Linked DNA regions of Oryctolagus cuniculus. The protein of the gene in region 2 purifies or fractionates together with the protein of the main gene of each other region. This does not show direct contact. Links are inferred from orthologs where the notes say so. Each region holds a gene or a part of one and is shown on either strand. Other genes may lie near its edges.

Evidence for each region. Proteins that work in one complex are often made in the same cells at the same time.
Region 1: the proteins of TADA2B (region 2) and SUPT7L purify together in Homo sapiens (affinity purification with mass spectrometry; 3 studies listed by BioGRID and IntAct, counting the BioPlex papers as one, with this or other methods). This does not show direct contact. The link is inferred for Oryctolagus cuniculus from reciprocal best matches to the Homo sapiens genes TADA2B and SUPT7L.

What each region holds. Positions count from the first base shown.
Region 1 is NC_091433.1:175,345,209-175,352,641, reverse strand, and holds part of SUPT7L (STAGA complex 65 subunit gamma), read right to left. Parts: 5' UTR 7,271-7,433; intron 6,624-7,270; 5' UTR 6,519-6,623; intron 4,220-6,518; 5' UTR 4,050-4,219; coding exon 3,637-4,049; intron 1-3,636.
Region 2 is NC_091433.1:3,114,449-3,121,211, forward strand, and holds the end of TADA2B (transcriptional adapter 2-beta), read right to left. Parts: intron 4,182-6,763; coding exon 3,189-4,181; 3' UTR 1,899-3,188; downstream 1-1,898. Other genes in the region: GRPEL1 (grpE protein homolog 1, mitochondrial), read left to right, coding at 508-854. UniProt on the Homo sapiens protein: Coactivates PAX5-dependent transcription together with either SMARCA4 or GCN5L2.

The DNA.
Region 1 (7,433 bases), about 170 Mb from region 2:
GCTGCTCATTGCCCAGGTAACTGCAATGCTGGAGGCAGACCAGGCTGAATCAGAAGTCAGGGCTCATTCTGGGTTTCCCACATGGGTGGCAGGGACATAAGATTTGAGCCATGGCTGCTGCCTCCCAGGGTGAAATCTGGAATCAGAAGCAGAGCTGAGACTAGATCCCAGGCACTCCGATATGGGATGCAGGGATCCCCAGTGGCATCTTAACCATTGTGCCAAGTGTCCACGCCTAAAAAATAACTTTTAGTAAGTCTTTAATAATTTACCTCTCTCCTGAAATTTCCTATCTGACTTTTTCTGAAAAAAGTAATAGGGACAAGTGTTTGGCACAGCAGTTAAGTTGCCACTTGAGATGCCCACATTCTGTATCAAAGTGCCTGGATTCAAGTCCCAGCTTCGGGGCCAGCACTGTGGCATAGCAGGTAAAGCCATCGCCTCCAGTGCCGGCATCCCATATGAGTGCCGGTTCGAGTCCCGGCTGTTTGCACTTCCAATCTAGCTCTCTGCTATGGCCTGGGAAAGCAGTAGAAGATGGCTCAAGTCCTTGGGCCCCTGTGCCCACCTGGGAGACTAGGAAGAAGCTCCTGGCTCATGGCTTCGGATCGGCACAGCTCTAGCCATTGCAGCCAATTGGGTAGTGAACCAGCAGATGGATGACCCCTCTCTCTCTCTCTGCCTCTCCTTCTCTCTCTGTGTAACTCTGACTTTCAAATGAATAAATAAATCTATAAAAAAATAAAATCCTAGCTCTGTTGCTGATTCTGATTCCTGCTAATGTGCATCTAGAGGCAGCAGATTATGGTTCAAGTGTTGGGATCGTGTCATCCATATGGGAGACCTGGATGAAGTTCCCGGCTCCTGACTTTGGCCTGGCCCAGCCCTGGCCATTGTGGCCATTTGGGAAATAAACCAGCAGATAGAAGACCTCTGTCTCTCCCTCTCTCGTTGTAACTGTGCCTTTCAAATAATAAATCTTAAAAAAAAAAAAAAAAAAAGAGAGAGAGAATAGAAAATCACTGTTGCTTGGTCTGTACATGGAATGTGTTGCCATGTGCTGTGCAAGAGTGCCCGGGGCACTATCCACCCACTCTATTATCTGATTGTAGCTAATACTGTCTGTGAGACAACCAGTTGCTAAGTAACCTTTTTTGGAAAGATTTATTTATTTGAAAGGCATAATGACAGAGAGGAAAAACAGAAAAAGATCTTCCATCTGCTGAATCACTCCCCAAAAGGCCACAACAGCCAGGGCTGGACCAGGCTGATGCCAGGAGCCAGGAACTCCATATTGATCTCCCATATGGGTAGCAGACACCCAAGCATTTGAGCCTTCATTTATTGCCTTCCCAGGCATATTAGCAGGGAGTTGGATAGGAAGAAGAGCAGCCAGGACTCAAACCAACATTCTGATATTGGATGCTGGTATCACAATCAGCCGTAACCCGCGGCGCTACAACACCTGCCCCATAACTTTCTAATATTTCCATCATAATCGGGCCAAACACTAAAGGCTTCAGAAGTGCTTAAGAAACAAATCTAAACTAGTATCACTTTGAGCAATTTATAGGCCACTTGGAAAACAATTTTTTGTCACCCCAATGGCTGCTCCAAATTATTTTTGTTATAGTCTCTTAAATATGTATAGAACAAAACTAGGTAAAACTTTTGAAGACCAAAGCTCTTACAATTAAAATAGAAATGTCTACAGCCACTCCACCAAACTCATCTGATCTCAGAAGCTAAGCAAGGCCGAGCTGGTTAGTACTTGGATGGGAGACAACTAAAATAGAAATCTGACACAAAACTATAAACAAACCATCAATTTAATATGATAGACAGAATTTTGTTGGAACTATACATTGTACCTTGACATCATCTGGCCCAACTGTAACTGTTACATAGTGCGTCTATTTCTGATTTTTTTCTCAACAGTTTGGGATAACTAAAGTAATAACTATTATCACCAATAGGCCAATATAATAAATGATACACAGTATCACTTCTAAAGTATTCTTGCCAAACATCTTTAACCTGAACTTAATCTTGAGGAAATAATACACATACAGTGGGTGAGACATTCTGTAGACCCAATGATCCACGCTCACAGAGACATTATAGAAGAATAACAGCTAGATGCATGAATCTTTGTTAGGGGAAAATATACTTGTTTTTTTTTTTTTTTTTTTTTGGTTTTGTTTTGTTTTGTTTTTTGACAGGCAGAGTGGACAATGAGAGAGAGAGACAGAGAGAAAGGTCTTCCTTTGCCATTGGTTCACCCTCCAATGGCCGCCGCGGCCGGTGTGCTGCGGCTGGCGCACCGCGCTGATCCGATGGCAGGAGCCAGGTGCTTCTCCTGGTCTCCCATGGGGTGCAGGGCCCAAGCACCTGGGCCATCCTCCACTGCACTCCCGGGCCACAGCAGAGAGCTGGCCTGGAAGAGGGGCAACTGGGACAGAATCCGGCGCCCCGACTGGGACTAGAACCCGGTGTGCCGGCGCCGCAAGGCGGAGGATTAGCCTAGTGAGCCGCGGCGCCAGCAGGAAAATATATTTGTAAAAGATGTTGGTAGCAACTGGAGGAGTCTGAATATGGTCTTGTTAAATGGTATAATTTAATTAATGTTCATTTACTTTGGTGAGATAACAGTACAGTGATTATGTAGGAAGATAGATGCACACTGAATAAATGGATGAAATATTGAGATGTACGCAAATTACTTTAAAATGTTTGGCCAAAAAAAAGTGTGTGTGTGTCTGTGTGTGTGTATAGACTTTCACATACACGTATAAGAAAGTAAATGTGGAAAACTGTTAGCCACTGGTGAATTCAGATGACAGGTGTTTGAATGCTCATTGTACTACCGATTAAAACTTTTCTGTAGGTCTGACAAATTTCAAAATGGAAAGGAAAACAAAGTAATTATTTGGCATTCAATACACACTTACACACAGAAGTGTAGCAGTAGTGCTAGTCCACAAGGAAGTCATTCAGGCGTGTGGAGCAGGGCCTCTCACACTGGAGATCTGGAGATCTCGTGAAAACGCAGGCTCTAATTCCGCAGGTCTGGCAAGACCTGAGAGTCTGCATTTCTCACAAGCTCACACATGATGTTAATGCTGATGGTCTTGGGCCAGATTTGGGTAGCAAGAATCAAGGACTTTTTTTACGTTATTATTTTTTAAACTCTATTAGCAGAATGAAAATACACAGTTTGAAAAATTCCTGCATAGACTTGTGGTTTCCTAATAATACCTGTGTAAGCCCATGAACCACATTTGAAGACCCTGAGCTAAGCCCGTAACACTCATTTTATACTAAATACAAAGACTAGATTCTGAGGACTATGAAGCCATGGCCTATGGACTATGAAGCCAGTGCTCCTAGTGAACTGCCTGGCATAAAACAGGCACTCAGTAAATATTTGAGGCATCAGAAAATGAAAAAATATATTCAGGGTTTGGAAGATTGGGGTTCAAGGCTTGGATTTCCCCCAATATCCTGAGCAACCTTGTCCAAGTCAATTCCTCTTATCCTTCGTTTCCTCATGGGGAAATAAAAATGCTATTACAGGAATAACAGGTTATTGGAAAGATAACTCGAGAAAGGAAAGATACGGCAGTCTTGTCTTACCGATAAAAGTCACTCTCTGGATCACTGTGTCGGATCTGGAATGGTGCATTGGGGTTCTTACAGTCCAAAGGCAGGAGGTCATCGGGGAGAGGAGGTGACCCTGGGCAGGCGGGAAGAGGTTCACTCTCCTCAGTCTTTACACCTTCGGTCTGCTGCTGATTCTGGGCCTGAGCTGTGGCAATAAGGTTTCGAAGACGTCGGTTGTGCTGGATCAGCTGAATGGTGTGAATGGTGAGGCTGCACGGCTCTGAGGGGACGTCCAGCATGGTGGGGGGCTTGGGCTTGTTGGCAGAGGGCTGGTGCAGGGGTGGGTCATGGACTTCCACCAGACGGAACTCCCGGGGGAGCAAATCAAAGGAACTTCTGTTGGCCTGGTTTGACGACATTGGTATTTCTCCCCAGTACCTCAACATTTTGGAATAAGGGAAGAGTTCTCAGGTTCAATGTAGAGGATATCCTAAAAGTAATGTGTTTAGCTCTCTGGCCACTGTAGATTCTAGGCTTCTATAGTGAAAAATATGAAGTCCAGCCAGTTATTTACATAAAAATGTGTCAGACAAATGCAGGACCAAAGATGTTCTCCCTGAAAAAATTTGGAGAAATTTAGCTGTTAGATGCTAGCCATTATCACACCCTGATAACTCCTACCAGACAACCACATGGTAGAAGCTGAGTCATAGCAGACTAATAGCTGAAACAGTATCTGGGGCTCTACTGTCCGTGTTTTCCATCTCACCTTACTAACTCATTACCAGAACCACCATCATGCATGATACTTAAATATCAAGCCTCAAGTATTGTGCATTTTTTTTTTTGACAGGCAGAGTGGATAGTGAGAGAGAGAGAAACAGAGAGAGAAAGGTCTTCCTTTGCCGTTGGTTCACCCTCCAATGGCCGCCGCGGCCGGTGCGCTGCGGCCGGCGCACCGCGCTGATCCGATGGCAGGAGCCAGGAGCCAGGTGCTTCTCCTGGTCTCCCATGGGGTGCAGGGCCCAAGCACCTGGGCCATCCTCCACTGCACTCCCTGGCCACAGCAGAGAGCTGGCCTGGAAGAGGGGCAACCGGGACAGAATCCGGCGCCCCGACCGGGACTAGAACCCGGTGTGCCGGCGCCGCTAGGCGGAGGATTAGCCTAGTGAGCCGCGGCGCCGGCCTTGTGCATCTTTTTTAAAAGAATTATTTGTTTATTTGAAAGGCAGAGTCACAGAGAGGGAGAAACATAAAGAGATCTTCCATCGACTGGTTCATTCCCCAGATGAATGAACAAAGACGAGGGCTGGGCCAGGCTGAAGCCAGGAGCCTGGAACTTCATCCAGGTCTCCAAGGTGGGTGGCTGAGGCCCAAGTGCTCAGGCCATCTTCTGCTGCTTTTCCCAGATGCATTAGCAGGGAGCTGGACTGGAACAGGAGCAGCCAGGACTTGAACTGGTGCTCATATGGGATGTCAGTGTCACAGGTGGCAGCTTAACCCGCTGCACCACAACACCGGCCCCTTCTCAGAGTACCTTGACACATCTATGCCAGGTCAATAGGAGAAAAGGGAGTAGAATCAAAGAGATATGTGTCTGTCAAGCATGAGAATGTTTTAACTGCTGCTGGTGGAAAATTTATGAACTACTGATCTATACAATCTTATGATTTCAACTTCTGACACATCTAGAAAGGAGATTTCTGTTGCCTTCTAAGTGGTATCCCTTCTTCTAGTCTCTCTTGGATCTAATCTGTTCTCCACACTGCTGCTAGATAATCTTTCTTAAAGATTTATTTATTTATTTGAAAAGCAGAGAGAGAGAGAGAGAAACAGAGATCTTCCATCCACTGGTTCACTCCCCAAATGGCTGCAACAGCTGGGTCTGAGCCAGGCCAAAGGCAGGGAGCTAGGAACTCCATCCTGGTCTCCCACATGGATGGCAGAGGCCCAGACATTTGGGCCATCTTCTGTTGCCTTCCCAGGCATAGGAAGCTGAATCTGAGTGAGGTAGTAGGGACTCAAATCAGCACTCTAATATGGGGTGCTGCATCCCAAGCAGCAGCTTAACCCGCTGTGCCACAATGCTGGACCCTAGACAATCTTTTAAAAATGCAAATGTAGGGGCCTGTGTTGTGGTGCAGTGGGTTAAGGCATTGCTGCCTACACTGGCATCCCACATCAGAGTGCTGATGTCACTCTACTTCTCATCCAGCTCCCTGTTAATGTGCCTGCGAAACCAGCAAAACATGGCCCAAATGCTTGGGCCCCTGCCACCCACTTGGGAGACCCAGATAGAGTTCCAGGCTCCTGGCTTTGGTCTGGCTCAACCAGAGCCGCTGCAGGCATTTGGGGAGTGAACCAGTAGATGGAAAATCTCTTTCTGTCTCTTTCTCTCTCTTCCTTTTGGTTTTCTTTTCTTTTTTGTTTTATTTTTTTAAATGTAGCAGTTTTTTTAAAAAAAGATTATTTATTTTAAAGGCAGAGTTACAGAGAGGCTGAGGCAGAGAGACAGAGAAGGGTCTTCCATCTGCTAGCCCACTCCCGAAATGGCCGCAATGGCTGGAGCTGGGCCAATCTGAAGCCAGGAGCCAGGAGCTTCTTCCTGGTCTCCCATCTGGGTGCAGGGACCCAAGGACTTGGGCCATCCTCCACTGCTTTCCCAGACTTTAGCAGAGAGCTGGATCAGAAGTGGAGCAGCCTGGACTCGAACTGGCACCCATATGGGATGCCAGCATGCAGGCATGGCTTTACCCACTACACCACAGTGCCGGCCCCCCTCCGCTTTACAAATAAATCTTTTTAAAAAATTTAAAAAGCTCAAATCTAATGGCTTCCCATTACCAAATGGAAAAAAAAAATCAGAATTCTTTGGCTTACCATTCAACAAAATTCACAATTTGGCTTCAACCTACCTTTCTGGATTCATGGCCCATGTACCTCTTCAAGTCCAACAAACATTTATCGAATGCCAGGCATTACGCGAGGACAGGAAGAACAAGTAATGCAAGATCTCCGTCCTGAGGGAGGGAAACAGAATATTTGAATATAAAAGCACATGGAAGTGCTGTTCTAGGTGCAGTGGAAGCAGAAAGGAGCTCCTGGATAAAATGATCAGCGTAGTTCCCGCGATATTACCCTACTTAGTTTCTTGAGACAGCCATGCTTCTACAGTCGACCCTTTGAGCTGTGACTGATGCCAGAGATGCCCTTCCGTCCCCACAGCCCTGGCCGCCTTGCATTCATTCTAAGTCAGCACCCTCACCGCTTCCCCAGGACACCGCTCTACCTTACGTTCTCACAGCACTTTGCACAGCACAGCAGTTATCCCTGGATTTTAACTAGCACTTATGTCTGTCAACATTATTCTCCCATCTATCTTTTAGGGCCATACACCTCTTGTCTCATTTATTGAATGCTTACTCTACTCATATGCCAGTCTTCATCTTTATGGTTTAATCCCGTTTTCCCAACGACACTACCAAATCAATACTGTTATTATTCCCATTTTTCAGGTGTGCAGGCTGAGGTCCTATGTCTTGCCCAATGCCACAAACGGAGCACTCTTAACCACTCAGCTACACAGCCTTACTAGCTTCAGAAAGAATCAATGAATGAACACTCTAACAACAACAATTACAAGCCGCCCTCTTCCCCATAACTTCACCGAAAGGAGTAAGACGGACAGGTGCCGAGTCCCGGGACTGCCCAAGGCGCTCCTTGGTCACGGTCCACAGGCGCCAATCACAGGGTCCTGAGGTCGCCTGATGCCCAGCGCAGCCGGGAGATGGGAAGGTCGGAACTGAACTGGGGCCGCTGTCCTCGCCGCC
Region 2 (6,763 bases):
GTCCGGGGACAGTGCTGTGATCTCTCCCCGCTCCCCGTGTCGGGGCAGTGCTGGGCCCTGTGGTGTCAGGGAACCGTCTGGGCCCCCGCTCCCCCGTGTCAGGGGGCAGTGCTGTGTCCCCCCCTGCTCCCCGTGTCAGGGGGCAGTGGTGTGTCCTCTCCCTGCTCCCCGTGTCCGGGGGCAGTGCTGTGTCGTGTCCTCCCCCCCCCCCCACTCCCCGTGTCAGGGGGCAGTGCTGTATTCCCCTCCCCCGTGTCGGGGCAGTGCTGGGCCCTGTGGTGTCAGGGAGCCGGCTGGGCCCTGCTCCCCTGTGTCAGGGGACAGTGCTGTGTCCCCCCCTGCTCCCCGTGTCAGGGGGCAGTGCTGGGCCCCGGGGGTCGCAGTGCTCCCCGTGTCAGGGGGCAGTGCTGGGCCCCGGGGGTCGCAGTGCTCCCCGTGTCAGGGGGCAGTGCTGGGCCCCGGGGGTCGCAGTCCGCGGGAGCTCAGCCGCGCGTCTCGCTCGCCCAGGCATCCAGGGCTTCTGCAAGGACCTGCTGGAGGTGGCCGACGTCCTGGAGAAGGCGACGCAGAGCGTCCCGCGGGAGGCGGTGCGGGACGACAACCCGCACCTCAAGAGCCTGTACGAGGGGCTGCTGCTGACGGAGGCGCAGATGCAGAAGGTGTTCGCCAAGCACGGCCTGCTCAGGCTCGACCCCGTGGGCGCCAGGTTCGACCCCTACGAGCACGAGGCGCTGTTCCACGCGCCCGTGGAGGGCAAGGAGGCGGGCACCGTGGCGCTGGTCAGCAAAGTGGGCTACAAGCTGCACGGGCGCACGCTGAGGCCCGCGCTCGTGGGCGTGGTGAAGGAGGCGTAGCCCTGGGGCTGCCGCCCTCCCCGGACCCTGCTGGGACAGGTGACGCGGGCCCCGTGGCCGCGGAGGGCGGACGGGACCCCCGGCCTGGCGCCTGGCGCGAGCCACCCTGTCTCTGCCCAAACACAATAAAAGCTGTCGCTCGGGTCCCCGCACGCGCCGTCCGTCCGCAGTGTGTGCGCGCCCAGCGCGGGAACGGCTGGAGCCGAAGCGTGTTTCCTGCTGAGTCCGGGCAGCCACCCTGGAGCGACAACACCTGGGTCTCGCTCACCGCAACCAGAAGCGCTTCCGGCGCCGACCAGCGGCCTGCAGGGCGGCGGACCTCCCCGGGCGCGAGGGTGCGCGCCGGCCCTTCGTGTGAGAGCATTAAAGCCGGAGTTCACGTCTCTCTTCTCTGATGCCTTCTGTCCTGGGGTGGAGGTCCCCGGGCCAGCCCGCGGGAACGCCTGGGACCGCCCACTCATCCAGGTCTTCAAAGGCCTGCAGGGACGTGGCTGAGAAACGAGACCCCCACGCTGCCTGTGTGGGGGCTGGGGCGTGGTTGGTGACCCGTGGGTGGGCGCAGGCGCGGTCCCGCCCTCTGACCTCTGACCCCGCCAGAAACCTGCCGCGAGGGGGTGGGCGGGGAGGACAGCGCCGGCTGCGCCCACACGCACCGCACCCTGTCCGTCTGGCGGTGGCAGGGAGGCTTCCGCGAGCGCGTGCGGCCCCTCCCGTCAGCGCACAGCCGGCCCACGCTGCTGGAGAGACACGGACAGAGCTGCCTTCTCCACGGCTCGTGGACGGCAGCGGGCAGCACTCTGGGCGCGCGTGGCCGCTGTGCAAGGTGGGAGCCATCTCACGGGGCTTGAGCGGTCCTGACACCCACCCGGCAGGTCCTGCGAGTCTGAGTCGCCCCAGTCACGAGCGGGGCCCCACGGCGGCCGCGCGCTCACCCAGCACGGGCTGCATGGAGGCAGCGGGAGTCGGCCAGAGCTGCAGGTGGACAGCAGTGCGGCCGGGGCTGGGGGCCCCGAGGGGCAGGTGGCGAGAAGCATGCGCGCACAGTGTTCTCAACTCCTTTAATGTGGAAAAGGGGGTAAAAACGCTCGGAGTTCACACCGCGGGACATGCTCGGGTGTGGCCGCCCAGGCCGCGCAGACGGCCGCAGTCACCTCTCCCGGCCCGCATGCTGGAACGCTGCTCCAGGGGCGCGGCGGCCACGCGTCACGAGAATTGGGTAGAAAACGCCGAGGGCGACTGACGGACAGCTGCGGGGGCGGACGAGTAGCCGGTCCTGAGCTTGCGTCTCCCTTGGAACGCGTTAATACTTCAACATAAATTAATGATACATTCATCGTGGTGGCTGAACAGTCAAGCCTAGGGAAACTTCCTACCTCGGCGTAGGGCGCAGCAGGCCGCGGCGCACAGGCTCCCGCCCGGCCCCACACCTCTCCCGGGCCTGCTTCCCCTCAGGGCCCCTGGGGCGGCCAACGCAGCCAGCGACACCCAGGCTGGCTGGGGCCCGGTCTGAAATGCTTCTCTTTAATGCTGAGGTCCTACCTGGGGACAGGATGAGAAGGGAAAGGCACCGTAATCAACTCGTCCTTGGAAGGGAGGTGTCCTGGCTCCCGCGTAGCTTGGTCATCCAGCGCGGGCGCCAAGGCGAGCCGCGCCCAGAGCCCCGCGCTGCCGCGAGCTGCAGGACGAGGCCACCCGCCGTCCTCGAGGCCCAGGAGGCAGCAGCAGGCCGGGAAGCAGCGTGCAGGCCGGGAAGCACGGCCCGGCGCGGCGGCCATGCGGGGTGCCCAGCTGGCCCGGCCGGCGTCCTAAGCGGAAAGGGAACTTGAACTGTGATGAAAGTCCTGAGGAAGCGAATGCCAGAGCCTAGAACTCAGCCTTGAACCTGTGAAGTCGTGTTCTTCAGCACGGCACACACCCCTGGGGGCCCACGGGCGCGTGCCCCTCCTGATGCGCCTTGTGTGGGGGACGAGGCCGGCCGGGCCGGAAGGACAGCTCCCGCTCGCGGCCGGCGGTCGCCGTGCCCAGCAGGTGCCTAAGGAAGCGCCATCCCGCCTTCTCCGCGGCCTCCGGTAAAGTGCTCGTGCCCGGCGCCGCGCCTGGGCAGCCGCGGCTCCGCACAGCTCGGTGGCACCGGGCGGCTCCGGCGGCACGAGTCTGTACCTAAAAGGAAGAACACACAACACGAAAGGCCGTTCCGCAGCCTCGTAATGCGCTCCGAAGCGAGCTCGGCCGCACGGGTCTCGCCGGGCCGGGTGGGGGCGGCCGCGCCTGCGTGGTCACGCCGGGCCGGGTGGGGGCGGCCGCGCCTGCGTCCCCGGGGGCGCGGGGCGGGGCTCAGGAGGCGTCCCTGGAGATCCAGCCGCTCTCGGTGAGGAAGGCGAGGATGCGCTTCTTGAGCACCTTGTCCAGGTAGCCGGGCAGGCGGCTCTTGGAGGGCACGCCCTGGCGCTTCTGCAGGTGCTCCTTGATGATGATGGTCTTGACCGTCACGTAGCGCGCCGGGCTCAGGCCCAGGGAGCTGCACAGCAGCTTCTCGCGGTCGGACAGCAGCTCGAAGCCCGGCAGGTGCTCGATGGCGGCGAACTCGCCGTCCCTGCCGTCCTCCCGCGCGCGCCGCGAGCCGGCCAGGCCGCGGTTCTCCTTGCGCTTCTCGCGCTTGTGGCGCGCCGCCTCGTACTCGGCCGACTCCTCCATCCTGGTGATGCCGTTGCGCCGGTAGCGCTGCAGCTCGCGGATCTTGGCGCGCAGCAGCTTCTCCCTGTGCATGCTCTCGAACAGCTCGTCCAGGTCCTTGCAGGACATGAACTGGTAGAGCGGCCGCAGCTTCAGCCGCAGCTCCTTCTCCTCCTTGGGGATCTTGCGCTTCAGCGCCTTCTCCTTCTCCTTCTTGTCCCGGCCCAGGAAGGCGGGCACCAGGTTGTAGTCGCGCGCGATGTTCTTGCGGCGCTGGCGCTCGCGCAGCTTGCGCACGTACATGTCCACGTGCGCGCGCTTCAGCTCGATCTCCACGTCGTCGTCGTCGTAGTTGACCGAGAGCCCGCTGATGAGCGCCTCGGCGTCCTGGTCGTACTCGATCTCGTAGTCGTCGCGCAGCGGCATGTAGCCCAGCTGCTGCTGCTCGGCCACCGAGATGTCCAGCGGCGGCAGCGGCGTGGTGAGGCTGGGCGACAGCGGGCCCCCGCTGGGGCACGTGTGGTCCGTCACGCGGTTGGGGATGGTGTCGGGGATGCAGGCCTTGCCCAGGTTCCCGTGGATGTACATGCTCACGTAGTGCTCCATCACCTCCTGCGGCGTGCGGGACGCGCCCACGTGAGCCGCCATGTCCTCCTGCAAGGACACGGGTTGGACGTCAGCCCCGCCCGCCCGGCGTGGAGCCCGCCCGCCCGGCGTGGAGCCCGCGCTGTCTCCGAGGCGGGGAAGTGAAGGTGCAAACTCGCCCACGGCCACGGGTGAGCCCCCTGGCGCTGGCCGCCCGGGGCACAGGGCAGGGAAAGGTGACGCCCCCGTTCAGACGAGGGTGCAGGGCCGCTGGCTGTGCCCGGCGGAGAGGCTGGCGGGGAACCTGCGCGGCCGAGCAGGGAGCCCGTGACAGCGGCTTCTCGAGGAGGAAACTGTACAAGCCCTCAATCTTTCCCTTCTGCCGAGAGGCCTCTTCCTCCACGCCAACCGCTAAAGCCACTTCACAGGCACTGCCCAAACTGCGCACTCATTCCCCGGCCGCCTGCCCCACGGCACCCCCGGAGGCCCAGCGGGAGGGAAGCAGCCCGCCCACAGACCCACGGCTCGGCCTCCCCGTGGGCCACCCGCCAGGGCCGGGCGCCGGGCCCTGCCCTCCAGTCCCGGGGCTCCGTGGTGCGGCTCCGTGCAGTGGGCTCAAGGCTGCAGCCCTGGCCCTAGCAGGGAGAGCACAGCGCGGGGCCGGGACACTCGCAGCCCTGGTGTCTGTGGGAGTGGCGGAGACACGCCACGCTTCTGCCTCGGAGCAGCGGGTGGGGACTGTCCACACAGCCCTCGCCACACTGTGACCGCCACACCGTTGACTGTCCACACAGTGACCCAGGCTGCTCACTGCACAGGCTGGGCGCAGAGCCCCACGCGCGGGTGCCCCATCGGGATCAGGGCAGGGCCCTTGGTGGCCCACCCCAGCCACCGCTCACTGGCTCTTGGGAGGGAAAGGGTCATGTCGGGTAGGGGCCCTTGGGGGCCTCCGCCCGGGCTCAGAGGGTGGAATGGCTGCACCCCCACGGATCCACAAGCGGTCCCAGCGCCCCTGGGACGGGCCCTGCACGAGGCTCCCGCACGCGTGAGCTCAGAGGAGCCGTGCTCCCCAGGGAAGCTCTCAGCCTCCCGCACCCTCCTCTCAGGAGCCCGGCCTCAGCAGAGCTGCAGGGCAGCCATGGTGGGTTCCAGAAGGTGCCCTCTCCCCACCTGGTCCCGGCCCCCCCACTGGCTGTGTGCCGGACCAGTCCACTGGCCTGTCGGCACTGTGTGCACAGAAGCAGGGCCCCCTCCCGTGGGGGTGGACAGCTGGAGGCGGCAGCGTGCGCACAGTCCCACAGCCAGGGAGCCCACAGCGCCCACGGCCACCCCCCGCCCTGCCGCAGCCCCCGTGCGGTGCGGTGCTGGGTCAGGACGGCACCCTCCGGGGGAACCCCACCAGGGCACAAGGCCAGCCGGGATCACGCCACCCCAGCAGTGGGGTCTGGGGCACGTGGTCCCATGGAGGGGTGTGGCCGCCGGCGCGGCCTGGTGCTGGGGGCCACACCCAGGCTGACCCTGACCTGGCCGTGTGGGAGGGGCGATGGTGCACCCGGGGCCTCGCGCAGGCTTCACAGCCTCCTTCCTGCCTGGTCCCCCGCCTGCCGCCCTTCACCCAGCCAGCACTGGGCTCCGGTGCAGGAGACAGGACGGGGCTCGGCCTGGCCCCCAGGCCCCTCGCAGGGTGGGGGACAGGCTCCAGCCCCCTTTACCGCAGTGACGAAGCCATGCGAGGCCCTCCGTCCTCAGCGGGGCCCTGGGGACGCTCGGGTGGACACCGGGCCCGCGGGGCAGGGTCGCGTCCCAGCTCCAGCCCTGCTAACGCTTCCCGCGGGGGCACAGCTGGGGCAGGGTGACGGGCTCTCACAGGAGACCTCCAGCCAAGCCCCAGGGGTAGGGGCGCCTGGGCCGAGTCAGAAGACGGGCGCTTTCTCTCACAGTGAAGCCCTGGCCACGAGGGGGGAGGGAACCCCGGAAGGTGCCCACCCGGTCCGGCCAGCACCATCTCCTGGGAGCTCCTGGCACTGCCCTCTGCCCACTCACCAAACCTGGGCCCCCAGCCGCCCTCGCAGTCCTGCTGTCACCTCCGCTCCCACTCGGACCCAGCGGGCAAAGGCCACTGGCTGCAGGCCAGCTCCCTGTGGTCACACAGGGGCCCACACACAGCTCTGCCCCGTGCTGGCCTCGCCCTGCCCCTGCAGAGCGGCTGTGTGGCGTCTTCCCGGGGGCTCGGTGGCGCCTGGCACCCCGGCTCCTCGGCCACTGCTCCTGGCCTCGTCGGACAGAAGCCCCGGGTGCTGGTCCCCTCCTCCAACTCCCTTGGAGAGGCCCGGCCTGCGGGCCGCGCGCGTCCTCAGACGAAGGCCTCCAGCATCCGCCCAGGAACGCAGAGCGAGGCTGGGGTGTCGGTGTGTCCACGCGCAGCGGCCAGCAGGGGGGAGGCCTGGGGAGGCCTGGTCACCTCCACGGGACAGGCACGGGGCGACTGCACTCACGGGGCCCCGACGAGGCCCGGCCACGGAGGCGGGCTCGCTCAAGGTCTGCGTGGATGCTGCTGATGGCTGCGCGTGACTCTCAGTGCCCCCAAACGGTACGCGCGAAATGGTAACCTTTACGTCATTTTACAATAAAAATGTTAGGAAAATAAAAGA